2 linked regions of the Daphnia pulex genome follow. Each later gene encodes a partner of the first gene's protein in a complex. Links are inferred from orthologs where the notes say so. Each region holds a gene or a part of one and is shown in the gene's direction. Other genes may lie near its edges.

Region 1 (3,450 bases):
GTAATTGAAATTTTGGATTCACTGATGATGAAGCATTATTTTAACATGGTTTCCATTTTATCGTAGATCGTTGCTTTTTGATGAAATTTATCCAAGAATTTCGTCGTTCGAAGTGGCCCGAGACTGCTTCCTTCAACTGTTAGAACCCCACTTTCTCAACGACCGTTTGCAATCTATCTCACCTTCTATTATGCAGCAATTTGTAGCCCTTTATGAAGATAAGGGCTGGCTTGAGGCTCTGGAGAGCTGCATCAGCCACGTCGATGTCTCTAGCTTGGATCTGCATCAGATTCTGACGTTGTCGCATAACCAGGGGTTGTGTCACGCTTACCTTTACGTGCATACACGGGCGCTTCAGGATTACGTCAGTCCGCTGGAAGATCTGATGAAACAGTTGCAAGGAGCAGTCAAATTAGGTTCAGCATTATATAACATGATTCCATAAAACTAACTAGTTAACCATTCCATGTACCGTATACCCTTAGGTCCGCCGTATTCTGAACAAGATCTCAAATTGGGCCACGTCATCCTGGTCTACATCTCATGTTGTTTGGCTGGCAGGGCTTATCCCGTTGGAGAAATTGACGAAGATTCCCGTGTTAAAGTCAAACATCAAGTGTTAACTAGTCTGACGTGCCTGCACAGTAAACGAGCTTCGGAGGATGAGCCTCCATATCCATTCCTGCGCACTCTACTAGAGTTTAATACCCAAGAATTACTCAATGCTCTTTCATTAGCTTTTGAAGAATCTGAATTCATTGGCGAGATGGGAGCAAGACGCCAGCAGAGAGTAATAGACATTCTGGTTGAAATTATGATCAACTCGTCTCAGTTTTCGGTAAACATCTTTTTCTGCCTAATAGTAATTCTAACTTGTTTGTAACTTGTTTATAATTATTGTTACAGCCGGATCAGATTTGCTCTCTTTTCACATTCATTGCTCGTCAAATAAGTCGCTCACCTCGCCACGACTCTATTCATTTGGAACGTGGTCTTTTTCAGCAGCTTGTAGATTTGGTCTGTTCTTTGTCTTCTAAAGAAACTCGAGTTCAGAGTAGATTCGAAGAAAGGCAACAAGCACTGCTTCAACTTCTTCAGATTAAAGGCCAGCTATCATTGGGAACAGAAGATGAAGAAAAGCTACTTGAACAAGCTCAATCCGCTAAATTGTAATATCATTTAAAATCAAAAATCAATTTGAAACCATTTTCACATTCAATTTATAATACTTTTTTATTAGTTATCGTGTATGCGAGTATATCTACGAGCAGCGCCAAGATTGGGAAAATGTGTTCCAGTGCTACATTGACGATACCTCTCGCCACGGCGACATTCTTCACTTCCTGCGGAACGTTTTCACTGAATCTGTTGCATCCAATGTCCAACTGATGGAACGATTGATTTTGAAACATATCCAACTGCTAGTCCAACTAAACGCAACTTCATTGGCCGTCTTTTTGGCTGTTAACAAACCTGCATTAATTGATGAGGCGGTCACTGCCCTGATACCTTTTCCAAATGAACGATATCGTTTTCTTGAAGCTATTCTTGATTTGGCGTGAGTTTTAACTTAATTTTTATCGACTTATTTTACATTGATGCTTCAAATTTTAAAAGACGATGTTCTCTTACCTCCGTTGAAATAGGACTCAAGATATAGATGGGGCAACCAATACTGCTGTTTTGATCGATGATGACGGTCATTGTATTGAGCAATTTGCTGAACTTATGGCGGAGCTAGAGCCGGAGCGACTTACGTCTTACGTTCAACTAGCCGATATCCCACATCTGCCGCGTTTGTTAGAAATCTGTCGCAAGTTTGCCGTTGTCGAAGCTGAGGCGGCAATTCTTGAACGTCAAGGAGAGATAACAGCCGCTTACGATTTACTACTCGGCCAGCTTCAAGGTTCCATTAAACAACTCTTTGTTGAAACAGAGGGTTGGCAAGACTTCGAGGCTGCTTCTCAATCAGTAATTGATTTTTGTCAGCGACAAGCAAGTTCTTTAACAGAAAAGGAACGCGAAAGGGTTTGGTTAACCCTTCTCGACGAGTTGCTTCTTCCGCAAAGAAGCTTGAAGGGAAATCCGGATGCTTCCGCTTCCATCATCTCAGGTTTTGGAAATTTTTATTTAAAAAAAGGCCGTCCGTTAACAATTAACGATTTTAAGGTTTGAGAGAAGTTACTCAAAAAGTCGTGACAAGCATCCAGGGTCAAATAAGCTTAACTAAAGTGTTACCTCGTTTGATTGAGGATCCCGAAACAACAGGAGGCACTTTAGGGGATCTTCGCCAACTTATAATGGGTAACACAAAAAAAAAAATCTAATTCATTGAGGTAAAGTTTTTTTAATATAATGATTCATTTATTAACAGGTCTTTTGGATAACTACACGTACGAGACAACATTGCTACGGATCAGCACGCGACTGCTTCAAGGGGATGTACACAGTTTACTGTCTCAGCGCTACCGCCAGTCACGGAAAGGTATTGCGTTGCGTGCGTCCCGCTGCAGCAGCTGTAATCGTCTGCTTCAAAACGGCCGGAATCCATCCATTACTGCATTCCAATGTCGTCACGCTTTCCATAGCAGCTGCTTACGAGGGGAAATCAAGCAATGTATCCGTTGTCAGCCAACACCGATCATTGCAGAGCCAGAGCAAGATGATTCTACTGTCCCTAATCAAGTAAAGAGTTTTGTTGAATGTAATTGTTATTTTTCTAACTCTTTGTCATTTTCCAGGAGCAGTTGCCAGTTCCTCAGTTGTCACCTGCTCAGCTGGATTCGATCTACAAGGCAAGAATCGGATTGTCCTCTGCATTACAGAACCTATTCGAGTGATACCCAAATATTTATCCAGTATGAAACTTTTTCGATAAAACTATTCAAATTGTTGACTTATTATTGCAAATACGACTTGAATGTGCGTGTTACGTATAATTTCTTGTTGGGTTCATTCACAATCCTAGAAGGAAAGAGAACGTTTCTCGTATATTTTCCCGTTTATACAATAACTGTACAGCGCCCATCACTTGATGATTGCAAAAAAAGGCATTTATTCAGATTTAGACATTAGTTGGCTAAAATTGTCTGGCCTGTCATCCAAAATGATCCAACATGTTTCCATAAGTTGGTTGGAATGATCCGACAATCACTTAGCCCCATTAAAAATCCTTCAAGGTTTAATTTGAGGTCTGTCACCCCAATCAATGAAAATTCATAATAATTAACTTTTATGTGAATCTGGTCATAAGTTTCTTTGCGATATAATCAATATCTGTTTGTGATGGTTGGACGGTTTATGCTGAGTTGCTGAGTTGGTGACAGTGTGACACGAACAATTTACAAGTTCCATCACGCTATATGGTCCCCCTCTGTTTATGAGCAAAGTAATAATACAGTCCATTCCATTTTTCTCTATTTTTAATGTAATGTTATCTTAAGGGAGTTA
Region 2 (3,930 bases), on another chromosome or scaffold:
GGTCTTTATATGGCAAACATTCAACGTCTATCTACATTATATAAAGAAAAAAATAGCGGAAAATAGATAAAAGAAAATTCTGGGCTGATTTTATTTGTATCGTTACTTTGAGTCCATCAGCTCCACAGCCATTACTAGTCGGGAAATGACTTTGGTTTGGCGCTGCTATAAATCCTGCAAGAATGTAGGTATACATTTAATTATTGATTTATTAGTAAACTGCAAGGGGGTCAGAATATTGTATACTTAACCAGGTGGGCAATCAAACTTCAATTCAGAACTGGAAGGCTGTGACAAAAGATTGATTGAGGATTCCCAGATCTTTGGGTGATAAGCGCAAAAATCTACAAGAGTACTGAAAGTAGCACCAATAATTCCAGTAGACATCATTTTGAAGATAATCCATCTAAGTATTCCGGTCCACCAACCATCCAGGAAAAATAAAGTTACTAGTATGATGGCTACATGTGAATTCTTCATCGTACATCGTCCGATATGGGACGATAACTCTGAGAGAATTCCAGACAATTTGCAGGTTACACAACTACAGTCCGGTATTTTATTTCACTAAGAAGTAAACGGTGCACTCCGCCCGCCCCTTCGAACCTTCCCTATATATTGATAGAAGGGATTTGCAATTGCAACACGCGATACATATATTGATATCTCGATACGATACCTTTTATATTACGTTGAATTACGAAATAAATTTGTTTTTTAAGTTATAATCGCGGCCATTGGTCATAAATATAAACAAATTGGATACTACGAAAATATAGCGTAGTTTGAATGCCCACGTAATTTCAAATCGAAATCGGATTTGATTTTCCTTATTGAATCGATAAACTTTCTATATCGATTAGTGGGGTTTGTTTTGACGTAAGATTTTTTTTTAGTTTTTATTGGATTTGTGTCCATTTGTGTACACGATATTTAACTAAAGAGTACATATAATTAGTAACACAACGCTTCAGCTGCTACCATTTGTTTGATCTCATTAATTTGAGCAATCTTAAAATGAGTGCACAGGCATTTGACATCATATTTGCTGGTAATTTACCCAATCTCTTCATTGATGGATCTCCTTCTACAAATGTAAGTCTTTGTATCTAAAATATTCTTGTTGTATGTATAAATATGATTTTTCAAAGACATTAATGAATAAAATGTCATTTAGATAACCTGCCTGGAAATATGTGGCGATTTCTTATATCTAGGGTGCAAAGAAGGGTAAATTTGCTATACTGTTGGCTTCCCTTTTTTATACCATTGAATGTAATAAAAATTTCGAATTATTGTATCACAGAAACTTACTGAGGTGTAGCTTCAAGAAATCTTCAATCTTACCTGAACAAACAGTAATTATCAACAAAGCCACTCACTGCTACTCAACTACCAGTCCTATAGTACAGATGAAAGCCATATCAGCCTTGACACAGCTGCTTGTGCTTTCTAATGAAACCTTGACTGTGCTTGATTTGGAAACTTTAGCTCTAGTCAGAACATTAAAGTTCAAATCCATCACTTCTTTCCATCTTAATGAGAATCCACTCAATGAAGATCCATTCACAGTGGAGATTTGTGCTGGGTCCAAGAAAAAAATATTGTATATTCACCTTAGTGATGAGCATGTTAAAATAATTAAAGAAGTCTCAACTAGCTTAACACCTTCAACACTGGTGATGGATGGAGCTCACATTTGTTTTGCTATGGGCTTTGAATATTGCATGCTGGATATTCTTTCTGGAGAGATTCAACAGCTATTTGCTGTAGACAACCCACAGCAACCACTCATCATTCACAGAGTCTCAAAGGTGTTTAAATTTAAATGTTGCAAAATATTGCACCTGTTTTAACTTTTCTCCTAATTATAGGGAGAATTTTTATTGAGTGGACCTGGTGGATTAGGAGTATTTGTGTTGTCACAAGGTTTTTCAGATAAACCTCCAATAAATTTTTCCAGTCAAGTCTCAGCTTTAGCCTTTCATCACCCATACATAATTGCAGTGTGTAGACAAGGAATCTGTTTTTACAGGTATTTGAAGAAAAAAAAAAATTCAATCTGATTTGATAATTTTATTTGTAAATTTCATAATTACAGCATTATTGATCAGCAATGCAAACAAACGATAGCTATTGACAATGTTCGGTCTATAGTAAATGGTGATGGTCGAATCTTTGCCTCGACACTGATTGACTTGTTTGCTCTACTTCCTATTTCTTGGGAGACGCAATTAGAGAAATTACTTGCTGACAATCGCATAGAAGAGGCCCTCGTATTAGCTGCTAATGCCCATATCTCTTCTAACGATAGAGAACAGCATAAACTCATGATTAAGGATCTTGAAGAAAAAGTGGCTTTGCTACGATTTTCTTCTGGACGCTTTTTGGATGCAATGGAATTGTTTGAAACATGCAACATTGATCCTCGAAAGGTCTGTTTGTTTTTTACATTTGTGTACAATGTACATGCATAGCATATTAAATAACTTGTGCAACTATTTAGGTGATTGACTTGGACCTTGAACAAATGTTCCCAGAAGAAGAAATGCGCAACAGTTCTTTAGTGGTTTTCCTCGATTTTCTTCAGCGATGGAGACTCAAGTGCTTGACGCCAGATCAGAGGATGGTATGCTAGTTGTGTTTCCGTAGTTTTTCGTGTCATCGCATCTAAATTTGATGTAAAAATTTTTTAGGCAGTCGATTTGGCACTTCTCAAGTATTTAGCAAGGAATGACGACGAAGGAGTGCAGTTGATGGATTTCATCGTAGACTGCCAAGCCGACTCAAGTGAAACATGCGACTGCTTGAAAACTTTTCAAAGGTTCCATTGCTTAGCGACCTACTATATTTCTAAACAAAAATGGGAGGAAGCCTTTTGCATTTGGGATCGATTGATGAAGTCGGACATTGAAGACGTGCATTTTTTAGGATACCCTCATGTGGCCGAGCAGCTGACTAAGTATGAATTCTTTAAAGTTGTTTGTAAATCATTTTCATAAGTTTTTGCGATTTCTACTTAGGTGTGGAGACATCTCACTGATTTGGCGCTTTAGTGGAGAAATCTTAAAGAGGGATGAAGAGATGGGCGCTAAAATATTTACTTCAGAAAAGATACCAGCCGTTAAGCCGCGAGCTGTAATAGATTATTTACGCAACTATCCCAAAAGTTTAAGAATTTTCCTCGAATTCTTGATCGAGAAGAAAATCGACGAGGAGTCGGTTCACACTCAACTAGCTATGATGTATATAGATGACATCAAACGCTCCGATCTGAACCGCAATAGCCCAGGCCATCGAATGACAATTAACAAACTACGAAGTCTTCTTAGAACTTCTCAAAAACTTGAACTAGTTAAACTGTTGGAAATACTTGATACGCCTGGCTTTCCACATGAGCACGCAATCGTTTGTGGAAGACTTGGTCAACATTCCACTGCTATTAATACCTTTATCAACTATCTTAAGGTAGTTAACCTCTTAATATAAAGCAAATAATGTAATTTAATCAATCTTTATCAGGATTTTGATGCTGCTGAGGAATATTGTGCATGTCTAGATGATCCAAAAGCTTGGAATGCCCTGTTGGCTGCCTGTGTGACTGAAGCGAACGTTCATATGTTTGACCGTGTGGCAGATTTATTGCGTCGCCGGCCACATCAGTTTGACGTTCCAACAGCCCTGCTCTGTCTTCCTGATAGCACAAAATTCAATGTAATCGCCCCGTTCGTCAACTTCGCGGTTCGTGAAGCATTACACGAAAAGAGGATGAAGACGGTATTACTGTAGTCAAATAGGGTGTTAATCCATATAATTTTTTTTGTTATTTCTAGATCGAGAAGGCATTACATAAAATGGACAACTTGACAAATAAATATGAATTGAAAATATTGGAAACAGAGTCATTTTCTATTCAACCCTCTAGTTACT

What was found.
Region 2: vacuolar protein sorting-associated protein 8 homolog (region 1) and transforming growth factor-beta receptor-associated protein 1-like share a complex: the UniProt entries of both Homo sapiens proteins name them as parts of the putative class C core vacuole/endosome tethering (CORVET) complex. The link is inferred for Daphnia pulex from reciprocal best matches to the Homo sapiens genes VPS8 and TGFBRAP1.

Annotation. Positions count from the first base shown.
Region 1 is NC_060022.1:5,734,389-5,737,838, reverse strand, and holds the end of vacuolar protein sorting-associated protein 8 homolog, read left to right. Parts: intron 1-66; coding exon 67-416; intron 417-485; coding exon 486-838; intron 839-906; coding exon 907-1,169; intron 1,170-1,240; coding exon 1,241-1,558; intron 1,559-1,646; coding exon 1,647-2,113; intron 2,114-2,169; coding exon 2,170-2,304; intron 2,305-2,374; coding exon 2,375-2,685; intron 2,686-2,741; coding exon 2,742-2,840; 3' UTR 2,841-2,932; downstream 2,933-3,450. UniProt on the Homo sapiens protein: Plays a role in vesicle-mediated protein trafficking of the endocytic membrane transport pathway.
Region 2 is NC_060020.1:7,292,992-7,296,921, reverse strand, and holds the start of transforming growth factor-beta receptor-associated protein 1-like, read left to right. Parts: upstream 1-961; 5' UTR 962-1,017; coding exon 1,018-1,095; intron 1,096-1,177; coding exon 1,178-1,230; intron 1,231-1,306; coding exon 1,307-1,814; intron 1,815-1,874; coding exon 1,875-2,035; intron 2,036-2,101; coding exon 2,102-2,435; intron 2,436-2,506; coding exon 2,507-2,629; intron 2,630-2,696; coding exon 2,697-2,962; intron 2,963-3,023; coding exon 3,024-3,468; intron 3,469-3,522; coding exon 3,523-3,777; intron 3,778-3,833; coding exon 3,834-3,930. Other genes in the region: group XIIA secretory phospholipase A2-like, read right to left, coding at 1-31, 107-174, 252-480. UniProt on the Homo sapiens protein: Plays a role in the TGF-beta/activin signaling pathway. It associates with inactive heteromeric TGF-beta and activin receptor complexes, mainly through the type II receptor, and is released upon activation of signaling.